Alligator mississippiensis: one gene and its partners. The protein of the gene in region 3 purifies or fractionates together with the protein of the main gene of each other region. This does not show direct contact. Links are inferred from orthologs where the notes say so. Each region holds a gene or a part of one and is shown on either strand. Other genes may lie near its edges.

Region 1 (7,155 bases), on a different chromosome or scaffold from region 3:
AGTGGTTGTACCTCATTACTAACTAGCCATTCACAAGGGAACAGAATAATTAATCAAACAGCTGTTCACACTTCCTTAGCAGCTACTGTGTCAGTGCTGTATAGCAGTGCTAGCACTATGGCCATAGTTTTGGAGTTGACAGCTGCTAACGAGTTACAAAAATGGAGTACTAAGTACAAGTGCAATAGGCAGTAAACAGTGTCTAAAAGATGTTACACAAGTTACGTACTTAACCAAAATGCAAGTAGACAATATGTATGAGAATCTAAGCCAGAAGCAAAAAACTAGGCTCATATTATGTATTTTAGTGGATTTATCCAATATCCATTAACAAAGTTGACTGTATTTACATCCTGCAGACTTGTTAGCTAAGCCACAAGAGCTACTAGCTGCCATTTCTCCATTAGGATGGCTGAAACTGGACTACACTATAAAAACATTTTCATTTTAGGACAAGCAAATGAATGGTATTGGCTGCACAATGCCTTATAGTTTGCCAAGGGTTGTATTTGTGATCAATGTAATTGTAAGCCAGATCTACATTCCAGGTCATTTTCCAAGTGGCATCTAAATTGAAGCATTTCTCCTCGGAACTTCTACTGATGTTAAAAAAGATTTAGAGTCCACCAATTTCTCCTGGGAACTACTACTGCTGTGTAGGCTGTGTGTAGATGAAACGAGAGGTGTGTGTAAACCACACTTTAAAGTGGGCTAAATGCTTTTGCACCGCTTAAACAGTGTCAGTGTCTGCACGCCTTGGCAGCATATTGTGCATTAATTCCAGCCACTGTAGGAAATCTGGCGGCATAATGCGCCTTAAATGACTTGGGGCACAGCAAACTAAAACTTCTTTGAGGAGTTTTAGTTTGCTGCCCCTACAGCCACAGAGCGAAGCACCAGACTCCATGCAGCTCAGGGGCTCTGCAGGAAGCCTTGCAGGCACCTGGCAGCAGCTCTGGAAAGCAAGAAACCCAAGAAAAGCGGAGAGCCTCTGATCCTTTTTTTTCCTCTGCATCCACCCGCTCTTCCAAGCCTGCCAGCCTGCCTGAGCTGCACAGGGCTTGGTGCTTCCTTCTGTGGCAGCAGTGCCACCCCACCCCCGCCAGGTGCCTGCAGGCGGGTGCCACCTGCGGGGTGGGGCCACAGCAGGAAGCACCAGCCCCCCCTGCAGCCCAGGGACTGCTCTGCCCCCCACCAGCTCACCCTCCCTTCCCTGCTGGAAAGGCAGGTAAGTCAGCGGGGTGTATGCACGACACAGGGGTTTAATCAGCCCTACACTTCAATTTAGGGCCCCCGTTTCATCTACGCATGCCTGTAGTTAATGAATTTGACCCAAATATCTGGTCCAGCCCCCTCTGAAGCCAGTGGATTTCTAGAGCTGCAGAGTCATTATGTTAAGAAGTTAATGGAAATCTGCCTCAAACATTTTGTGTAAAGGAACTTTATTGAGAAAATGGGTCAAAGGTGCTTAGTTCCACTAGGAACTGCATTTATGACGAGCTGGAAGCTGTCCAACTTGATTGTGAAAGGTGCTGTTTGCTCACCATTGGGCAGATTTAACAAGGGAGAAATAGAAGAACAGACAACCCCAAAGCTATTCCACTAGTCACAGTCCCTCTCTCAGTTACGAGGACAGGGGAACTCTAATAGGCCTAAGTTCGATCTGAAGTAAGGAACTTCACAGAAGTGCATTAAGGCCAGAGTCCTTGCGTTACCCCTTCTACTCCTGTCCCTGTTTTCGTTAGTATTTGTCCCAAGTAACCAGTAACACGTCACTATTGGCCCCCCCATACGAAAGGAGGCTCATAGTTTCCTTGGCAGGCCTGGTCCTGCCATATCTCTGATGTGTTAAAAGTCCCTGCATCGCCCCATTAGTCATCAACCTGTTTAAGTGCGGGACCTTTACTTCTTCACGGGGAACTGCAGTGCCTATACGCCACATTGTTTTCAGCCTTCTTACAAGGCTTGGCTCTGAAGAGGATAGTTCCTGTTGACAGCTCTATAATCAGCACAAGGACATACAACAGGTTTTACCCAAGACGAGGAACTGAACCAAAGTTCACTGAAGACAAGATTTCAGTGGATTTTGGGGCAGGCGGTCAGCTTGCTTTGACACTTGACCTGCATCTGATGAAGGGAACTGAAGCTCATGAAAACTCGGGCTTTATATATCTACTTTGGTTAGTCTATAAGATGCAAAACTACCCTGCCTTCCACTTGACCTGTAGCCCAGACAGTCCCAGATGGATTTCAGGTCAACCACGTGCCTTCCTATGGCTTTTTCCTGATGGCAAGTGTTTCTCTGCCCTGGCTGTGCAGCAGGTCAACCCCATGCCTCCCAATAGGGCCCTTTTTTTTTGCTGGAAAGGGGGGCTCTGAGCCCCAGTCAGGCCGTAGGTCAGCCCCTGTGAGGGGTTTCCCTGCTGGAAAGCATCCCCAAGCCCTGGCCGAGTACCAGCTCAGCGCCCCTGTGCCTCAGCCCACCCTGAGGACAGGCAGACGCAGTTCCAGGTACCTTTTGAACCAGTAGATCTCATCGGGGTCGGCGATGCCGTACTCGCGCAGCTTCATCACCATGAGGGCGCTCTTCCGGATGGCCACCTCGTAGCGCTGGCTGCGCGACAAGAAGTTCAGGTCCTCGTGCTGGAATTCGGGGTCGTTCAGGACCAGCGCCTCTGCAGGGGGGTGAGGGGAGAGAAGCAGGGGGACCCCATTACAGCACTCGGGGCTGCCCCAGCCCCCGGGGATGGGGGGACGTGGGGTCTCCCAGGCCAGTGTCCCCTCCAGTAGTGCGGGGGGGCAGGGGGCGGGGCCCCCAGCAGTGTGGGGGGCAGGGGGCGGGGCCCCCAGCAGTGTGGGGGGCAGGGGGCGGGGCCCCCTCAGCAGTGGGTGGGGGGCCGAGGGGGCGGGGTGTCCCAGGGCATGTGGGAGGGGCCTGGGGGCTCGGGGAGTTCCAGGCCGGCGGGCAGGGGCTCCCACTCACCGATCTCGCGGCGGCGGCTCGTGCGCTCGGCGCCGCCATCCAGGACGTGGGTGAGCAGCTCCGGCTGGAAGGCGGCCGCCTCACGCTCCCTGCGCAGGTCCGGGTTCATCGTGATGGCGGCGGCGGCGGCGGCGGCTGTGCGAGCTAGTGACCGAGCCGGGAGCGACCTGCCGGCCAGGCCCCGCCCCCTCAGCCCGCACGTTGCGCCGAGCCGCCGTCACGTGACGCTCGAGTCCCTCCTTCCTCCGCCCCCTCCCCCCCGGGGGCGGGGCGGGGACGCTGCACGGAGGAACCAATCAGGGGGAGGCTCTGGCTGGGCGAGACCCGCCCCCATGTGGCCGCTGCTGAGGGGCGGAGCTCTGGGTCCCGGTCACGTGGGAGCCGGAGGCGGCGGCGATTGGACGCGCTGGGAGGCGGGAGTGGAGGTAAGGGCGCGGGGGAAAGATCCCTCCCCCAGAGCTGTGCAAGGGGGGAACCTATTTCCTTGCTATGGGTTCAGAGAAGCTGAAAGCTTTACTGACCGGGGGTGGGGTTGGGGTACATTACGTTACGTTACGTTACGATGTTGCAGAGTGAAGTAAAGATGGATGTGACGTCACTGGAACGAACTCAACGTCACTGGTTCATAGTGAGGGTGGGAAGGGACCGCAGGTGGTCACAGCTAGTCCAACCCCTGCTCCAAGGGGGACCAGCACCAACTAGCTCATCCCAGCTAAAGGTTTGTTCATCTGGGTTTTAAAAGCCTCCAAGGAAGGAGATGCCACCAGCCCTGTGGGGTTGCCCTTACCAGTGCTTCCCTACCTTCCTAAGGCCTGTATGTGCCACAGTGCTGGGTGCTTTCAAAAGTACCTGGCACTGCATTGCATGCATTTGTATAGATGGTGAAATGCGCGTCAGTGTTGAGGAAGTAGCGGTGGCACTCTTTTGAGTTAAAATACATTGGAGGTATTTTTGTTCAAAAGCCACGCTGCTGCCATTTTCTCAGCAATGATGCATATTTCACCATTTGTACAAATAGATGCGATGCAGCGCTGGGCACATCAGCTCGCATGCTCCGCAGACTTGATTAATTGAATCTGCTTTGACACGCTGGATTTCCCCGGTGTTGGAGCAGACAAAGATACGTGTATAGATGCCCCTAATTCTTCCTCATCTAATCTAAACTTCCCTTGCTGCAACGTGAGCCCATTGCTCCTTGTTCTATTATCTGTCCCCACTGAGAGCAGTCCAGCTCCATCCTCTTTTGATCCCACCTTCAGGTAGTTGAAGATTGATATTAAGTCCCCTCTCAGTCTTCTCTAGACTAAATAAGCCCAGTTCCCTCAACCTGTCCTTATAAGCCATGACGCCTTAGATTAAAAAAACGCAACTGGCTGTGCCAAAGTAGTCCAGAGATACCTGTGTTCTTAGCCCTGTTGGTGTTATGGTTTAACATATGTTTCTCTTTTGGGCGCCGGAAACGCACTCTACCGTCCCTCAGCTTTTTCACAGGGCAGCCTACACGTTGCTGTTGGTCATTTCCACACCTGAGTGAATATTTGCCTAAGTTAATGTTATCCCACCTGAGTTAAAGCTTTTAGTTGAAACTAGAAATGGACAGTAGGGCTGTGAAGCAGAAGAGAGGTTATCAGGACTGGCCAGGAGACACCAAAACGACAAAAGAAAGGCCAGCCTGATTGGTGGACCATCAAGAGCAAAGACTTTCATTATATATGTGCCTCTCTTTCAGATTCATAAAACAAAATCAAGCCTTCTTGAGCATCTTAATGCATCCAGTGCTTCACTGAAAGTTATTTCCACACCTGAGTTAATGTTTCCCACTAGAGTTGAAAGCAGTCTGTGGGAGCTGCGTTACTAGAAGTGGCTACAGCTAACAGACAGCAGGATTGCAGAACAAAGGATAGCTTGATTAGCGGAACCATTAAAAATCATTCAAAAGGAGAGAGGGTGGTTCACACCTGTAGAATGAAGAGTTTAGAAGGAATCAGGTAGATTTTAATGGCATATGAATTCAATTGATGCTCTCTCTGCTGCCTGAACAGAAAAGCTGCTGCCATGGCCAGGCAGTTGGTTTTAAACTTTGGATGGAGTAGGAATCAAAGGGGGCATGCACCAGTGGATCCACCCCTATACCTCGCTGTCAATTACTTCTACACCTGAGTTAGTTACTACACTCAAGTTAAGTTTTTTAGCTGGAGCTAAAAGGCATCTGCAGGGCTGTGAAATAGAAGAGACGTTACCAGGAATGGCTAACAGACAGCAAAACTGCAGAAGAAAAGATAGTTAATTATGGAACATAAAAAGGGTCCAATACTTATGAGAGAAAAAAGGGTCATTAATATTTGGGGAATGGAGAGAGATTACCAGGAAACGGGGAGGTGATAATGAGCCATGAAGTCAGTTGACTCCATGAGCCTCAATAGAAGTGCCACTTACCCTCCCAGACAGTTGGTTTTAAAGTTCAGGTAGAGAAGGAGTGAAAGGGTGTGGGGTGCAACTGCGCCCCGCTGGATCTGCCCTTGCCTTCCAGCCTGTTTGAAGTATTTTGCTGTCTCTGTCTTGATTAAGGTCTTGAGTGGATATGAGGGAAGCAGAGACCTTTATGTGCCCCTTCAAGCCTGGGTTGCCGAGCCAGGATTTCCACTTACCTTCCTCAAGCTCTCCAGGGATGGCATCGAGATCTTAGCTTCCTCTTCCTCCAGCCCACAACGATGTTGGCTTCTGTTTCCCATTGTCTCAGGCCTGGGTCTCTGAGGCACCTGCTCTCAGGAAGTGCATATGGGCACTGGAACAGCAGAAGGGGATCTTGGACAGAGAGATAAGCTCTAGCTTAGAAGCCATGGGGCTTTGATCTGTTGTTGGCCTTCATGGCTTTGATCTGTTCTTAGAGCAATTTGAATCAGAGCTTGAGCTGAGGAATAACTACTCCATAGACTCTGGGCTCTATGGCCCATTGAGTCCTTGTGTTGATTTAGGATAGGCCTCTTGGAGAGAGATCTCTGCAAGTCTTTGTAGAGTTCTTAAATATTGTTATGGAGCCTGACTGCCATAGATATATATTGAAGCAAACTACTTCTGACACCCTATTTTTCTCTGGATACATTCCTTATCCCTTGGAAAGTTGTGATCCAAATAATGATAAGCCCCTCTTCCTGCAGCACTGAAATGGGACAGCCCTGGAAACAACAGATCTGGATGAAGAGAGACTGTCAATGGCCTTTTATATCTGACACAAGGCTTTTTAGTGGGGAAGCCAGCCAGCAGTACTCCCTGTGACCCAAACATGGCCTGAAAAACACCCAGTGAAAATATTCAGAATTTGGCTCGTATTGTAAGCTTCATGCTGTGCCACCTGAGCATTCACCAGTGAGCCATGTAGTCAGTGTTGCATTTACATACTTCAGTGGGTCTTCAAGATCTTTTGAGAGAAGCCACAATCTAGAGGCTTGATAACAGCAGTGGGACCCAAAAGCTCATGAGTTCTTTAGCCTTAGCTTTTGTGACTCCTTGGAGGCCTCTGGCAGCCTCAGTCTATCTTCTTCAGCTTTGACACATGTAGACCTGGAATAAGTATACTTGTATTGTGCGGCTGCTGAGGGGATGCAACGAAGTGTGCAGCACTTTGAAGATACTTATTTATAGTTAGAACTTAGCAAAAATGAATTAAACATGATATGAAAGGCAAGGGTGGACCTTCGTTGTATGCATAAGGGGGACAGTTCTAGGTAAGTGTGGGAGTCAATAAAGGGAATCCTGTGAACCTTTGAACACCTGCCTTGAATTTTGTGTGTTTATAGGACTTGCAGCAGCTGTGCAAGATGCTGCTCAATCCTGGCATATATTATTTCCCTTGGGAGATAAATTCTGGACCTGTCCGGGATGGGGAAACACTGAGAACATTTGGCAGGTGAGTGCTATTCCCAGACTCCTTCCAGGCCATCTCTTTCTTTCCATAACTTCTTCCTCCCCTCAGCATTTCCTTCATATCCTGGGTGTCTCAGCTTACTTCTGAGGGCTGCTGCAGCTGAGTTTAGCAAATCAATTGTTTTCAGGTTGCACTGCTATGACCTGGCCCAGTCTGAAGCCGTCCTCACAGCCCAGCACAACTCAGTCCAGCACCAGGTCCGTGTTTGCACCAAATTTGTGGAACCATTCCAAGCCCAGCTTGGGTT
Region 2 (7,428 bases), on a different chromosome or scaffold from region 3:
TCCTCAAAGAACCAAAGACCACAGCCAAAATGCGTCCCAAATCCTACATTACAGGACCCTGCAGTCTACTGAGAACTGGAAAAGCTCGAGAAAAAAGAACAGAAGTCTGGGCTGAGAAATTAAGATGAGAATACTAATCGGAGAGCAGTGTCATCTGTCCTTCCTTCCTCAGAGCTTCAGATTAGGCTTTGCAACACTGTATAGCATCCACAATCACTTTGTGGCCCACAGAAATTGGCAATGCAACAGTAGCATAACTAGAGGGGCGAGCGAGGCACCAGCCCCAGGTGCCGACTTGGAGGGGGCATCAGAATGCCTCCTCCACCCCCCAGCTCCAAGCCTTCGCTATAACAGGTGCAGCCTTGTGCCCAGTACGGTATGGAGGGGAGGGGGTTAAGTGGAAAGGGCTCCCTTCTCCTGGCATTTTTGCTGCAGGAGGTGCAGATCCTCATCTAGTCACAAATCTGGGGGAAAGGACATAGGGGTGAAAAAGAACACCAGCGTCAGCCCATGGAGAGCCCCTGCCATGGAGGGGCCACAGCCAATGTACAGTGAGCTGCCTCTGGTGCCCTGTTTACTCCCACCCCCTGCCCCGAAATACTACTGGGCAAGGAACTGCCCCTCCCATGGCAAAAATGCTGAGGGGGTGTAGGGGAGGGAAGGGGGAAGGGGGCTATTCCACTCAACGTTTCCCCCATATGCTACTGGACTGCCCAGCTTCTGTAGCTATGCCTGCCATGGCAAATACTCTGGTAGGGGCAGGGAAGGATTTTGGTGCCCCTTGTTGCACCCTGCGTGCAGAGAGAGCTGGAGCAGGTAGGACTTCAGCACTCTACCCAGGGTGCTGCAGAAGCTCAATATGCCTCTGATGCAGACTTCAACCCATCAGCTAACCACTAACTGGACTGCAATTGCCCATGTCAAAGGGATCATACTAAAGAAACTGCAATGAACTGGATGCTTTGAAGCTTTAGTATCACTGGCAAACATTTAGGGAGAGCCAAAGAAAACCATATGAACTGCAAACATTTCCCTGCTCCAAGGGAGTCAAGTAAAAAGAAGCGACTCTCTGCCACCTTCCCTTTAAACATCCCTCCATACTAGAGAGCACCACAGCTTCCCTTTAGGTAATGAAAAGAAGATTTATCCTCCCCAAAGAAATGTCCAGCGTCATTCCTAGGCAGGCTAGGCTTCCCATACCCAATCTGGAGTGGATTAAACTAGGTCTGTGGCTCACCTGGCCTGAACAAAATTTGTTCTCCACAACACTGTTCAAGAATAGCCTCAAAATGCCCAGTTTTACTCCAGCCTCACAGAGGGTGTAAACAAGGCTGGAGGTTTAAATACCAAGCTTCAGACCCACAGAGTTAAATTGAGAGGTCCAGAATTTTATCCCGTGACTTTATGCCCCCACGCTCTTCTGGAGCACTGAGCAGAACCCACCCATGGGCATCAGGCAGGGACATCCGATGCAATCCTATCCTGCAGTGACACAATCTCCGGGAAATGGCCGTTTCAGCCCCACCTGCCTTCGGTCACTGCATCGAAACCGTCTATTTCAGAAATGCAACAACGCAGCCACCTGCGGTGACCTTCCTCAGAGGGAGGTGCGTCTTAAAAAGACCCTCCGAGGACCGAGCACCAGTCTGCCTTTGACATTTGAAGCGGGACGGCGAGTTTACTGTACTTTACCTCCTCCTCTTTGCGGATGTTGCACTGCATGGGGGTTACTTGGGCTGGATTTGGGGAACAGTTTTGATCAGTCAGCTCTTTGGCAGCAGCTTTTAATCTGTCCAGTTTGCGAGAGGCAATAACTACATTGCAACCTGTGGAAACAAACCCAAAACCCCTTTAGACAGACGCTACGCATATGGAGCTGCTGCATTAGGCATTTCGTAACATGGGTCTTTTATAGGACAGCCACTCGTTGACCATTGCTAGACGACGGGCATGCCGTCAGAGATCAGTCCCGGCCCCTACGAGCCCTCAACCCTTCTTTTCATTTGGGAAGTTCGAGAAACAAGGAGCAGCAGAGGGAAGCTGAACACGGGATCCCAAGGTGCTTGAGAAAGGACAGGATGAGAAGGGAGCTCGCACCTCCTGGCCTGCCCAGTGCTTGGATATTCACCCACAATACCAACACGGCAGCCCAGCTCACACCAGCCGCAGCTCACTTCGGCTTTATGTGGGGCATTATTCACTGCGAACGAGATGCACGAACCTATCTGTGCTATAACAAGGTTACAAAAGTGCCTTGCCAACTCTCTCCTTCGGAGAATCGCAGACAACGAGGGCTGAAGGGACGGGGGGGGGGGGGGTGCATTTCTAGTCCAGCCCCTGCTCCAAGCAGGACCAGCCCCAACTACATCATCCCAGACAAGGCTTTGTTGAGCCGGGTCTTAAACACCTCCAAGGATGGAGACTGCACCACCTCTCTGGGTAACCTGTCCCAGTGCTTCACCACCCTCCTCCTGAGAGAGTTTTTCTTGATTCCTGATTTTCCCGAATCCTGCCATGGGGCTGGGTGTGCGCGCGCTGGTGCTACACGGGCACAGGCCCAGGCCCAGCGCGGGGTCAGGGCTCTCAGCTGCAGCAGCCCATGGGGTTTGGGCACCCACCAGGGAGGGACCTGCCCCACCCCATGCTATCAGGCCCCGCCCCCTAACTCCCCCACCCCGTCACTGCCAGGCAACACCCCACAGGCCCCGCCCCCACGCCACACCCGCTCCCCCTCTTCCCACTCCCAGGCACCACCTCGACAAGCCCATCCCTGTCCCCCTGTTGGTCTCACCCTCTGCCACTCCCAGGCAACCCTACAAGCCCCGCCCCGACGCCACACCTGCCTCCCCATTGGTCCCGCCCCGTGCCACTCCCAGGCAAGCAGGCAGCACGCCCACAGGCCGAGCCGCTGACCGAGGTGGCGCAGGTCAGCGGCGATGGCCTTGCCGATGCCGGTACCGCCGCCCGTAACGATGGCCACGCGCTGCCCGAGCAGCCCCGGCACCAGCGCCCGCACCCGCCCCGCGCCGCCCGCCGCCGCCGCCATCTTAGCGCAGGCCCCGCCCCTCGCCTCTCGCCCCGCCCCCTCCACGCGCGTCAGCCACCCGCTGCGGCCGCCTCCCCCTCCCCCTTCACCTCAGCCTCCGCCCCGGGCCGGGCCGGGCCGGGCCGCCGCCAGGTAGGGACGGGCATCGCCGGGCCGGGTGGGGTTTGGGGGTGTCCCCGTGTGCACGGCGCGGTCTCGACGGCTGCCGAGCGGTGTCCCACAGGCGTGTGTGCCCGCGCGTGAGGACACACCTGACAGCCGGGCCGGGCTCCTCCTCCTCCTCCTCCTCCACCCGTGTCTCCCCCAGAGCCGGGGCGCGGCGCACGCCGGGCACAAAAGACATTTTCCCCCGTCTCTAATGCGGGTCATTTTACACCCCCCCCCCCCCGTGTGCGCTCGTCTTCAAAACGGGCCAAGCTCACTCTGCGGCCGCCCCCTAGACACTCTCCCCGGACGAGGCAGGCCCGAAAAACAAGCCTTGCCTCGAAACATTGCAACCCGGAGCCGCTTTTCCCCATAGGAAACAATGTTGTAAATGGGGGATCGGTTCCTGAACCCAGGCCTGACACCCTGTTTTCACTAAAAATACCCCAGAATTTTGCACTCGATCCACTACGGATACGTCACGTAGCTACACGCACGTATTGCTATCGTAAATAGCAATCCTAGCCATTCGGAAGGACTTCTTTGAGGTGCCCGTGCCGGACTTTGCGAAGGGCTCCTGGCTGGAGGTTTTTTGGGGTTCGTGGGCTTTCTGAAAGAAAGCGTCGGAGGACGTTGGGACAGATGAGCGACGAGCGAGGCGGAGAACTCGCTCGCGGGCGTGGCGTGGCGTCGGAGCGAGCGTCGTGAAGACGAAACTGATGTCAGACAGTTGAAACGTGGTTTGTAAACGTCTCAGTGCAAAATGTTGTAAGTCAGGGACTGCCTGTACATGGGACGAGTCCCAGCGAGAAACGCTCCTCCGCGTTAGCGAGCCGGGACCGCAGCCTCGCCGCAGAAATGAACGGCTTGCCTCTCCGGTGTGATACGCCACGCTTTCAGATTACGATTTTTATCAGGATGGACTTCAAATCTCAATCAAGTCGGTCATTTTTCTGGACAGGTACGTGACGCGCTCCTCAATCCAGCATCGGAAGTGCTATTTAAAGAAGTAAGAGAAAGAAATCAGGGCTTTGTCAGTGTCTGCACTAACCGTGCCCCGCAGGGACCGTCCTGCAAGAGTCGCACTTCTTGTGGGGTGGGATTACTGCGTCTGCTTTAAATCCCTATCTGCTAAGCGCTAACCAGAAACTGCCGCTGTCCGTTCTTGTTGCCACCGAAGGTGACGACTTCAGGCTGGGACCAACGTGAGCTGCGTATGATTCAAGGTTTTAAACCAACCTTTTTGGCAAGTATGCTGCAAGTTAGCCCTGCATCCTCCCCCAGCTCCGCTCCAGTCTCTTCTCTTGCCCAATCTTCTGCTCTGCTTTCTGCCTCTTGCACGACTGCTGCCTGGATGCCCGTCCCCTCCCCAGTCTGACCGTGTCATGGGGTGGCCACTTCTGCCTTAAATTGCCTCAGGTGGAATTAAAGTGATTATAAATCACCAGTTTTAAAATCATGATTTAAGTCAAGGGCAGGAAATGTTAATTTAAGTTCTCAGTTCTAATTTTGTTTTGCTTTTGTATTTTTTTTTTTTTATAGTTATTGTACCTTTTTAAAGCTGATTCTCACTGGTTGGTAAGCATTAAAATACATTGATCTATACAAATGGATATAGGCCCACACGACAACTTGGAACTTCTTTGTTAACTGGTAGGATATCCTATATCTGTACACTTTTTATTTAAGCAATGAAGAAAGGGCCAGTTATTTATTGGATGATCATTTGTTTTTGGTTTTTTTTGGGGGGGGTGTTAAAGTTTTGATTGATAGAAATCACAAAGTGCATTTGGATTGAAGTTAGAAATTCACTAAAATGTACAAAACATCATTTTGCTGGGTTTTTGGTTGTAGCCATGTTAGTCTCAGGACATAGGCAGGCACGGTTCTTTGGGTAGATGTGATATCTTTTATTAGACCAACTGAATAGTTGGAAAACATTTAAACAAAACATCATTTTTTATTTTTAGTTAAAGCTGTTACATTAGATGCATTAAAAAAATAATTTATCAAAGTGTTTTAATACAAAATGATTATTAATAGTTAATGAATTAAAGGGGGGCTGGGTCACTGCTTCAAGATGTTAGAACTAGGAGAGCTCACTTTCTTACCTATACCTTTTGTTCGTTCATAGATTGTCAGAGGAAGACGAGCTTTCCTGCTTTTTTTGTTCCCATTTTGCATCTCAGCTTTGAATGAATCAGATCAAACTAGTTGAATATATTGAAATAAAGGAAGATATTATTTCTGCACCTGCAGAGGAGGCTGTGGCTTTCAGCAGCTGTTTTTATCAAATTCTTGTCACTGGTGCTTAGCTAATGACTTCTATTAGTTCAGTAGTTTGGTTGAGTGGATTTAAAATCTGAGCAGCAAACGTGTTGTCCATATCCTGTTTTTATTTCATTTAAATGCTTGCTTGACTTTAAAAAATGTGGACATTAATATAGGTAGCTGTATTTTTATTTAGTAGTAGAAATGTTTTTCAAATAAGCCAATTTAAATTTTAAAAAGATATGATTTACACTTAATAAAGAAGCAAAGCATGCCTGCCTTGGTATGAGCTTACAGAAGAATTGGCCTGGACTCTTATCAAGGGATTGCTCCTGTCCCAGCTAGTATCTACACACACATGTCTCTTATTTAATCTTAAACATAGGCCAGTGGACAGGGCAAGAGGTATAGCAATGAATTCAGTCTGTCACCATAGAGTGCCCCATCGATAATTCCCAACCAATAACACGAATAAAGTGAAAGTGCCTCGTGTCTGGAATACTGTGGCATCATGCACCCAATTCATGTTCCACATGGGTTTTCTTGAACCTCCCTCCACCCTCAGGCAAGGCATGCAGCTCAGCTGAGGCATGCATGTACCCTTTTGAGAAAGATGGGCATACTATGAAATGCATTGCTGATAGCTGAAACAGTTCAGAAAGCCCAGTCCCATCAAGCTTGCTATTGTTTCAAGGACATCAGCAATATTTGCTACTGGCAGTAAAGGACAATAACAACCTCCTTGCAAACCTTCAGTACCATGGCACTAAGCATTGACTTACCAACATAAACAGATTAGCCACCAAACTATAACAGTCTGGGGTAGCCCACTTCCAGATGGCAATAGCAACCTGCTGGTGTGGACTCCATCTTGCGTATGCCTTGGTACAGAAGGGCCTTGCCAATCATTTCCCACAGCTCCGTGAAGGGGACTTTCCTCTTGTGGGAGTCGTAAAGCCATTGTTGGTCCCTCCAGGTCTGCACAAGAGCGTGGACTAGAGGAGGGGAGGGACAGAATCCAACTGGATCTAGACAGGTTGCAGAGGTGAGCGGATGAGAATAGGATGGAGTTCAGTGCAGACAAGTGCAAGGTGCTGCATCTGGGGAGAAGGAACCAGCAACACACCTATAGGCTGGGGAACACCCTTCTCAACAACACGGTGGCAGAAAGGGATCTTGGAGTCATTGTTGTCTCCAGGATGGACACGAGCTGCCAATGTGTGGAAAGTGGTCAGTAAGGCCAGCCGCACCTTGTCGTGCATCCACAGATGTATCACAAGCAGGTCCAGGGAGGTGATCCTTCCCCTCTATGCGGCACTGGTCAGGCTGCTGTTGAAGTATTGCATCCAGTTCTGGGTGCCGCACTTCAGGAGGAATGTGGCTTACCTTGAGAGGGTCCAGAGGAGGGCTACTTGTATGGTCAGGGGGCAGCAGGGCAGGTCCTATGAAGATAGACTAAAGGGCCTGAATCTATTCAGCGTCCACAAGAGAAGGCTGAGAGGGGATCTGGTGGCCATCTATAAAACTCACCAGGGGGGATAGTGGAAAATAGTTGAGGCTCTGTTCCCCCAGGCACCACTTGGGATAACAAGGAATAACAGCCACAAATTGATTGAGAGCAGGTTCAGGCTTGATATCAGGAGACATTACTTTATGGTGAGGGCTGCCAGGCTCTGGAATGGGCTCCCAAGTGAGGTGGTGCTCCTCCTTACCTTGGGGCTCTTCAAGGAGGAGGTTGGATAGATATCTGGCTGGGGTATTGTGATGCCAGCACTCGTTCCTGCCCATCATCAACTTGATGATCTGTTCAGGTCCCTTCCAACTCTAGAAATTATGCTGATCAGCACTGGGGTTCCCACAATGGTCTAAACCTGCATTATCTGTCCCTACAGTTGTAGGAGTACATGCAGTCCATATAATCTCCTTAGCAGGCCCACTACTGCTTTCCTAGTGCCACAAGCCACTAA
Region 3 (8,038 bases):
CAATATTTGTCTTAGGGCAGGACCAAGTTGCATCAACTAAATAGGTTGCATTGAAGAGCTACGTGTACTCAAAGACAGGTAGGGCTAGGCACTTCCTATGCCGGAAAGTTGTAATGGATTAGTTTAAATCATTTTAAAACCAATCGATTTAAACTGATATAAACTCAAACACACTTCTGGCATGTGAGCAGTTTACTTCACTTTAAGCTTAAGCCTGTTCCTAGAATCACAGAAAGTGAGGGTTGGAAGAGACCTCCAGAGGTCATCCAGTCCAACCCTGTGCTCAAAGCAGGACCATCCTAGACTATCCTCGAACCAGCCAAGGCTTTGTCTGACAAATCACCAAGGACGGAGATTCCATAGCCTTTCTGGGTAACAGGATCCAATGCTTTACTACCCTTCTTATGAGAAAAGTCTCAAAGCCTAGGATTAGACTGGATCTCGAGAACCATCTAGTCCAGCCTGTGGAGATGCAGAATTCACTGTTCCAAAGCCATTCCAGACAAATACCTATCCAGCCACTTCTTGTAAATCTTCTGTGAAAGATCACACGCCCTTTCTAGACAAGCTTGTTCTATTGCTCCGACCACAGTTATAAAACTTATAGGTTTTCTCAAGACTTGATCTGCATCTGCTTTGCTGTAGTTTAAGCCCATTGTCAAATGCTCTGCCCTCTGTGGCAAGGGAGAACAGTGTTCAAACTAGGCATACCAACTTCCTTCAACTTTTCCTTGCACAGATTGCTTTTTTCCATCTTTACTGCTCACCTCTGGACCCTCTCCAGATTTTTATTTTTTTACATCCTTCCCATAATATGTTACTTTGAAGCTGGGCACAGTACCCCAGCTCAGGCCTATCTAGCAACACACAGAGGGGTCCTGCATACACTGCTTTTGTGAATTCCACCCCAAAACTGTATTTGCTTATTTTTTTCTTTTTTAACAAGACTGCATTGCTGATTCAGGCTGAGCTTGTGATCCACTAGTAATCCCTTCAGCCCTCTCAGCAGTGCTCCTGCCAACATGGTTATCCCCCAATAGCTGGTTCAATTGGGGAATTGGGAGGTCATCTTTAGCATGAGCCCAGAACAAAGGTCAAACTCACACCTCTGAGTCCACAGCAAGATACCAACTGCTCTGCCACTCTGAGCCCAAGAATTAAGTATTCATTTGTCAAGGATTTGAACTTGGATTTCCAATATTCTGCAACTCCCCTGACAGCTGGATTGCAGTCAGTCTGTCAACTGACCAGCTTCTGTTGAAGTAAACCAAAATAAAACACTTGCACCAGAATAAGAGAGTGGCCAAAAAGGAATTTAACCCAAATTAGCAAAACAAGTGCAATTTCCTGCTTTAGGTTACACCAGTACAACTTTCCCATACAGGTGAGGTGCCGATGCAGAAGCAGCCTGTTCCAAATACTGGTCGTGTCTTATGGGTGGGCTCATCTCACATTCAAAGGACATCATCATTGTGGGATCAGGGCAGAGGCACGTTATTGACCAACACCTTAACTCAGCTTCTCAAAAATGTGCCCTCACCTGTCACCTCTGCAATGAACTCCTGTGACCAGTCGGCCTCATTGTAATCTGGGGACCCATCAGCCGTAGCATCTGAGGCGGCCAGGAATTCCTGGGCCCAGTTCTCAGACAGAGCCAGGGCTGCCACACCTGGAGCTAGGGTAGAGAGAGAGGAAGGAGGGAAGGTTAAGTGATGAGACCCGTGTGTCCTATCCCCTGCTGGTGATTGGAGAAGACCTGGCTTCCTAATCCTCAGGCACCTTCTGCCCACATCCTCTTTCTGCTCCTATCAGGATATACCACTACAGACCCAGAAAAGGCCCTGATATGCCTGACCCTTTCTTAGTCTCCCTCACCTCGCTGGGGGGCTTGGCGAAAACTTGACTGCTCAATCTCTTGCATCTCAGCCAGAAGATCATCCATCTTAAAGGTCTGGGGGACACGGGAGAGCAAGGGAGCACTTTGCTCCTGGAGGAATTCTGTAACCAGCTGCAAAAAAGAAAAAGAGAGTACATGCGTATGGGGTTGGGAGGACAAACAGCAAAGGCTCTTGGATGAAGGAAGAAGGAAGGGAGAATGTGGGTGGGAGGTGGGGGACAAGAAGGACAGAACGAAAGGGAACAGAGAGAACATGGCTGCAAGAAAGGTACTGGGTAGTGACACATGGCTACACTTACCTCATCTTCAGATGCCACTCCCAGAGGCTTGGACACCTACAGAAATGAGGGAGCAAGCAATTACTGCAAAGCATCGCCCTCTGCTGCCATCCCTCCTCCTCCCACCACCACCACCAGACTAACCAGTGCCTACCCCACCTGCAACCCAGCCCAGCACGCACGTCCCCTCCGTGTGACGAACAAAGCCACTTCCAGCACAGCCCACCTCCCTTGGACACCCCTTGCGGAGAGATGTCCTAGCCGGCATGATGGCAACCTCCTGCTTTCCAGGAACCCCCAGGGTGTTGGGAACAGATGCCCCTGCACCACCAGCCCAACACATCAGACAGCAGGGTGAGGGCCCAGGGCCACCCACCTGCACCCTGCAGCCCTACACCCGGGGTGGGAGCAGCCACCCTGTCGCAGCACCTCCATCCTGTACCCGTGCTCCCTGCCAGGTGACGGCCCCTGCCTCGCCACACTGCCTTGGCACTCACGGCGTCGGCAGGAAGCGCGGGGGGCCAGGCAGCGGGGCCTGGCAGCCCCTCCTGCCGCAGGGCCTTGTCCTGGGTGAAATGCCCGGCCAGCTGCATGAGCGGGTTGGAGCCCCCGCACTCCGGCTCCACCAGCTCCCGCATCGCCATCGTGGCCGGGGGGCGCCGCGCCGCCTGCGCCTGTGCACACACGAGAGCGGGAGCACGGCGGTGAGAGGCAGCCCGCACCCCCCGGCCCGGCCAGGCCCGGCACGGCACGGCACGGCACGGCACAGCCCGCGGGCGGCTCGAGGCAGGCCCCTCCCGACGCGACGGCAGCCGGGCTCCGCCAGGCTCGCAGCAGGGCCGGGGCGGCGGGGGGCGGGGCCACACCTTAAAGGGCCAGGCGCCCCGCGCGCCGGCCTAGGCGCAGGCGTTCGGGCCGCTCTGACGTCGGTCTCGCGAGCGGCGGCGGCGGCGGGGAACCCCGGGGCCGGGGGGAGGAGTGGGGAGACTCCTCCCGCGCCAGCACTGCGGAGAGCAGCAGGAGGCTCCGTGGACAGTCACACAAACACCACCTCGGGCAGGCGGCGGACTGCAGCAGCCTCTCAACCCGCGGGTCGCTCGCGAGAACTTCAAGGGTCCTCTTAAGTGGGAAGCCAGGGTTTTCGCTTGCAGGCTGGCAGAGGTCTAGCCTGGGAGGGAGTGCCTGGGGCTTCGTACCCCACACCCTGGGATCGGGAGTGAGGGCTTCTGGGAGCAGAATAGACATCGATGTTTATAAATGGGTCCTGCTGCTTAAAAGTGAGAACCAGTGCCCTAGGTGAACCCTGGAGGTGCCTTCCCTCCCAGCCCTGCTTCTCCATGACGCCACCCAGCTGGGCAAGAGCCCGAAGATCCTGCGCCCTTAATCCTGCAGTCCTTACACACGGAATCAAAGACAGCGAGGGTTGGAAGGGACGTCAGGAGTTCATCTAAGCCAACCCCCTGCTCAAGGCAGGATTAACCCTGACTAAAACCTCCCAGCCAAGTCTCTGTCCAACCTGCTCTTGAAACAGTGAGAATATAATAATAAAAGAAAAAAGCCAAACACCAAATCTTAAAAAATAATTAGAGATTCCCTCTCCTGGGAAGAGGAGACACCAAGCCATATGTTATCAATGTTTGTCGTGTTATTTCACACAGTACTGGAAGACGTGGTGAGGAGCGTATAGGAACATATATAAAACACAAATCAACTAACATCCCTCTCTTTCGCACTTGAATTGTTTTCCAAGTTACCGTGGTGGGTGTGGTGGGAGAAACCTCCCTAAGGTCCGTTGTCTAGCTGTAATTTGATTGACAGACAACGCGGGTAAAGAAAGACAGCTGTTTAATTGCTCGAGCAAAGACCATAAAGCCAGCAAAAGGCAAAATGGCCCCCCCTCAAGGGTGAGGCGATCTTTTATACTTCTTACAACAAAGCAAGACTACATGGTTAACAAAAAGCAATACTTGGGGCGGTGCTCTACAAATCTTTGTAACAGCATATTTCTATTAAGCTGAACTAGTACTTTTTAAAAGCTAAAAGTTAAGTAACAGTAACATTATGTTAGCAAAACCTTACACAGTAGAAGATAGTTCTCAAGGACACAACCAGTAAGCTCAAACAATGGTTTCTCTGTCTTATCTTACTTCTAGCTGTAGCTGATTTTTTTTAGCACACAGACACAGATTCACTTTTTAACTCAGAAAATGCTTGTTGCAGTTAAAATGATTACTTGACACAAGCAAAGGCCTAGCTATCATTCTGCCTTGTGGTCAGCTGCATTACTAGGCCACAGGTCATGCCTTGTATTCAGCTGTAAAGCTAATATTTCTTAAAAATCCAAATTATTGTAAACCTAACAGTATGCTTTCAGAAAACTATTCTATTTCAGGGTAATGACAAACCTGCGCACTACATGGGAATTCCTCAACAGAAGTTCTATGTAAAGTTTACAGAAACACACCCAGCTGGGCAAAAACAAGAGTCCAAAGATCCCATGTCATTAGCCCTGCAGTCCTTATATTTTAACTAGCAAATTGTCCATCAAGAATGATGGGGGCAGGTAGACGGGGATGGAGCTCCACATCTAGCCACGGCTCCTGCCCACCCACCCCCACCACTGCTCTGGGTCTGCCATCCCCCCCGCACTGGGTCCAGCCCTGCATGCCCCCCCCCAGCACATTAAGGTGTACTGGGGCCCTAGGCATACACAAAATTGGAGGCCCCCTCCCCCCCATGGGAACTGGCCTACAGGGAGGAGGGGAAGGGGCCCCTTCCCCTCCTGCTGCTGGCAGAGCTGGCTGAGTGGACTTTGCCAGGCTGGGGGTGGGGGATGTACATGCCCACCTCTTCTCCCTGTTACCTTACCGCGCCCTCCCCCACTATGGCCAAACATATACACGCACACATGGGTGTACACTCTACTTTCACTCTCTGCACATGGACACACACATTCTCCCTGCCATGAACACAGACATGCACGCGCACACACAGACACAGGCAGACACAGACATGCATGCACACACACACACATATGCAGACAGATGCCATTTTGCACACAGGGCGTACAGTGTGAATTAAAAACAAGCAGGAATCTTATCAGGGGATAAAGCACAACACCACATTTATTGGAACATGAGACAAAACGTGCAACATGAAAAGAATAAAGAACAGTAAGGTTGTCTGCTTCACTCATTCCCATGCATACTCATTCATTCATACAAAAGAGACAAGTGCACACACACAGATAGTCAGACAGTCCTGCAAAGGTTAAGGTGTTACCAAGTTCTAAAGTTGCTCAGGTCAGTCTGGTGGCCGGCCAGACTGACCACAAGAGATGGAGTCAGGTCTTGTTGGACGTGCCCAAAACTCCTTCTTGCAGGTGGAAAAGACCCAAAGCCTTGTCTTTGTGTTCATTCTTTATAGTAAGAGGTGTTCATACAAGCCTATGGATTCCCCTGAGTCAGACACAAAGGTCATCCTCCTTGTCCTGTTGGCAGACTGGGATTGGTAGGATAGGATCTTCTTGCTTTGTGGTCTGCAGTCTTCAGGGGGGTCGTTGCTTGCAGTCTTCAGCCATCAGGGTGAAGCATGATCTAGTCATCAGTTAAGGATTACCAAATACTTGATGTCACTGCAGCCTTTAACCGTTAAACCACAGAAGGCTATTTTCACCTGCTGAAAGAGGACTGTCTTCCTTCACGTTGTCACATACATCCATCATTCATTCTTTCGTTATCTCTTTTCACGTATGCCAGACATACTGCAAACCCTTACACAAGTGTTTTCCTTATACTAAATTTAAGTTCTAAAGTCATGAGACCAATAGGTCAAGTATGTCTCAAATCATGAGACCAATATGTCCAATATATTTATGCTAAGCAATAAAAAATTTAAAATAGATGGTTAATTCCAGAACACTAATAATGACCGATTAAATTATTATAAAGAGTAAATCATAACAAAGATTAACTTCATCTCAATGGTTAAATTTATTCATTATATAAAAAGAAAAATAACAATATAAACAATCAAAGCAATTATAGTCACTGCAATACTACAATGGAGACAAAAACACTGTCCCTCCTGCCATGAACATAGACACATGCACACACACAATTCACACTCTGCTCACTCACTTTGTGCACATGGATGCACAAACACAAACATACTCTTCCTCCCATGACAGACACATGCACTCAAAGACATGCATGCACACACAGACTATGGGGCTATGCCCCGCCGCTCCATGTCCACCTGCCTCCCCGCTCACCTCCCTCCCTCCTTGCCCACTGACTCCCCCTCCCTGTCAGCTGCTCTGGGGGGTGCTGCCACAGTGATCCCCACCCCTCTTTGCCCTCAGGCAGGGAGGCAGGGGAGAAGCCCCACTGGTTGGGAGGCCAAGGCGTGTTCGCTGCCACCAAACTTCCCCGGCAGTGGTGCAAACTTAGGCCTGCGCAGCCCAGCTGGGCGCATGCACAGTTGGCCAAAGTGTTATGGACAGACAGACAGACTAAACCTTTTATTATATTAGAATGTACATAGAAACTGGGGGCTGGAAGGGACCTCAGGAGGTCATCTAGTCCAACCTCCTGCTCAAAGCAGGACCATCCTCAACTAGATCATACGTGTCTTCTTCAGATTTGGAAAACAAAACCTAGCTGCCTTGAGTGCCTCAACAATGACCCCAAGATGTCGCTATCCATCATGTTTCACCTGAGTTAATAGGTGACAATGATCTATGAAGTCAGTTGACTCTCTCAATGCTGCTTGAATAGAAATGCCACAGCTTCTCTCAGGCAGTTGGTTTTAACATTTGTGCAGAGCAGGAATCAAAGAGGGGTGCCAGCGCACCATTATACAGCCCCCCACCTGAATATGCCCCTGTCTGTACCTGAGGTGGCTTAGGCACATGCCCAGCTAGGCTCTTTTTTGGAAGTTGCCCAGGAGGCAGTCACCCGCAGTCTCTCCTGCAGCTCTGAGATGGGAAACTGTAGCCAGCCTGAGCTGCCTGCACTCTCCAACCATCTCTGGCAGGCACCTTGAGGGCCTCTCAAACCCCTAGAGCATCTGCCTGACTTTCCCAACTTACAGAGAGGCATCCAGGAGATCTTGGGGCCACTTCTCCATAAAAAGGAGAGTCAGGGTTCCTGCTTACAGACACTCACCCATGATCTCCAGGGGTGCTCCCCATAAGCAAGGAAAACCAGGAAAGCCTGTGCAGGTCTGTGTGTGGAGGCATGGGACCCAGGTAATCCTCACTGCCCCACATGGAGACCTGGTTACCCAGACCTGCCCCTGGCATCTCTGGGGAATCAGAGGATACCACACTTTCCCAAATTACTCAGACCTGCCCCCAAAGAGCCCAGGGGATAGGTCAAAGTGAGCAGGCAAAATGGGGCTTTCCCTACTTACCTGGACAGGTCCCTTGAGCCCCTGGGGATGGATCTGGGTAAGCAGGGAAGCCCACACTTTCCCCGCTTACCCAGAACTGCCCCCTGGGAATGCATCTGGGTAAGGCACATCCTGTTACCAAGTCATGGTGAGCTTGTAATCAACCATAGCACTCAGATCCTTCCTATTGTCAAGCTAGTTACTTCCTGTTTTGTATGTATATCTTCATTTTTTCCTTTCCTAAGTGAAGCACCTTTTTTGAAATTCTTTCTTTCTTTTTTTTTTTTGTCTGTCACTCAATTCTCCCCTGTATCAGGCTTTTTTAGATTCTAATCCTATCATCGCAGGAGTTTGCTAACCCTCCCTGTTTTGTGGCATCTGACATTGATAAGGAAGCTTTCTATTCCCCCATCCAGGTCATTGATAAAAATGTTAAACAACTATGGATGAAGAACAGACCCCTATAGAT

What was found.
Region 1: the proteins of PEX5 (region 3) and ACOX1 purify together in Homo sapiens (affinity purification with mass spectrometry; 3 studies listed by BioGRID, with this or other methods). This does not show direct contact. The link is inferred for Alligator mississippiensis from reciprocal best matches to the Homo sapiens genes PEX5 and ACOX1.
Region 2: the proteins of PEX5 (region 3) and PECR purify together in Homo sapiens (affinity purification with mass spectrometry; 3 studies listed by BioGRID, with this or other methods). This does not show direct contact. The link is inferred for Alligator mississippiensis from reciprocal best matches to the Homo sapiens genes PEX5 and PECR.

The regions. Positions count from the first base shown.
Region 1 is NC_081831.1:13,344,127-13,351,281, forward strand, and holds the start of ACOX1 (peroxisomal acyl-coenzyme A oxidase 1), read right to left. Parts: upstream 3,097-7,155; 5' UTR 3,093-3,096; coding exon 2,984-3,092; intron 2,676-2,983; coding exon 2,516-2,675; intron 1-2,515. Other genes in the region: CST complex subunit TEN1, read left to right, coding at 3,097-3,408, 6,781-6,890, 7,036-7,155. UniProt on the Homo sapiens protein: Involved in the initial and rate-limiting step of peroxisomal beta-oxidation of straight-chain saturated and unsaturated very-long-chain fatty acids.
Region 2 is NC_081827.1:252,180,077-252,187,504, forward strand, and holds the start of PECR (peroxisomal trans-2-enoyl-CoA reductase), read right to left. Parts: upstream 3,048-7,428; 5' UTR 3,047-3,047; coding exon 2,914-3,046; intron 1,827-2,913; coding exon 1,693-1,826; intron 1-1,692. UniProt on the Homo sapiens protein: Participates in chain elongation of fatty acids. Catalyzes the reduction of trans-2-enoyl-CoAs of varying chain lengths from 6:1 to 16:1, having maximum activity with 10:1 CoA. Has no 2,4-dienoyl-CoA reductase activity.
Region 3 is NC_081824.1:244,301,990-244,310,027, reverse strand, and holds the start of PEX5 (peroxisomal biogenesis factor 5), read right to left. Parts: upstream 3,010-8,038; 5' UTR 2,820-3,009; coding exon 2,673-2,819; intron 2,233-2,672; coding exon 2,197-2,232; intron 2,009-2,196; coding exon 1,876-2,008; intron 1,676-1,875; coding exon 1,541-1,675; intron 1-1,540.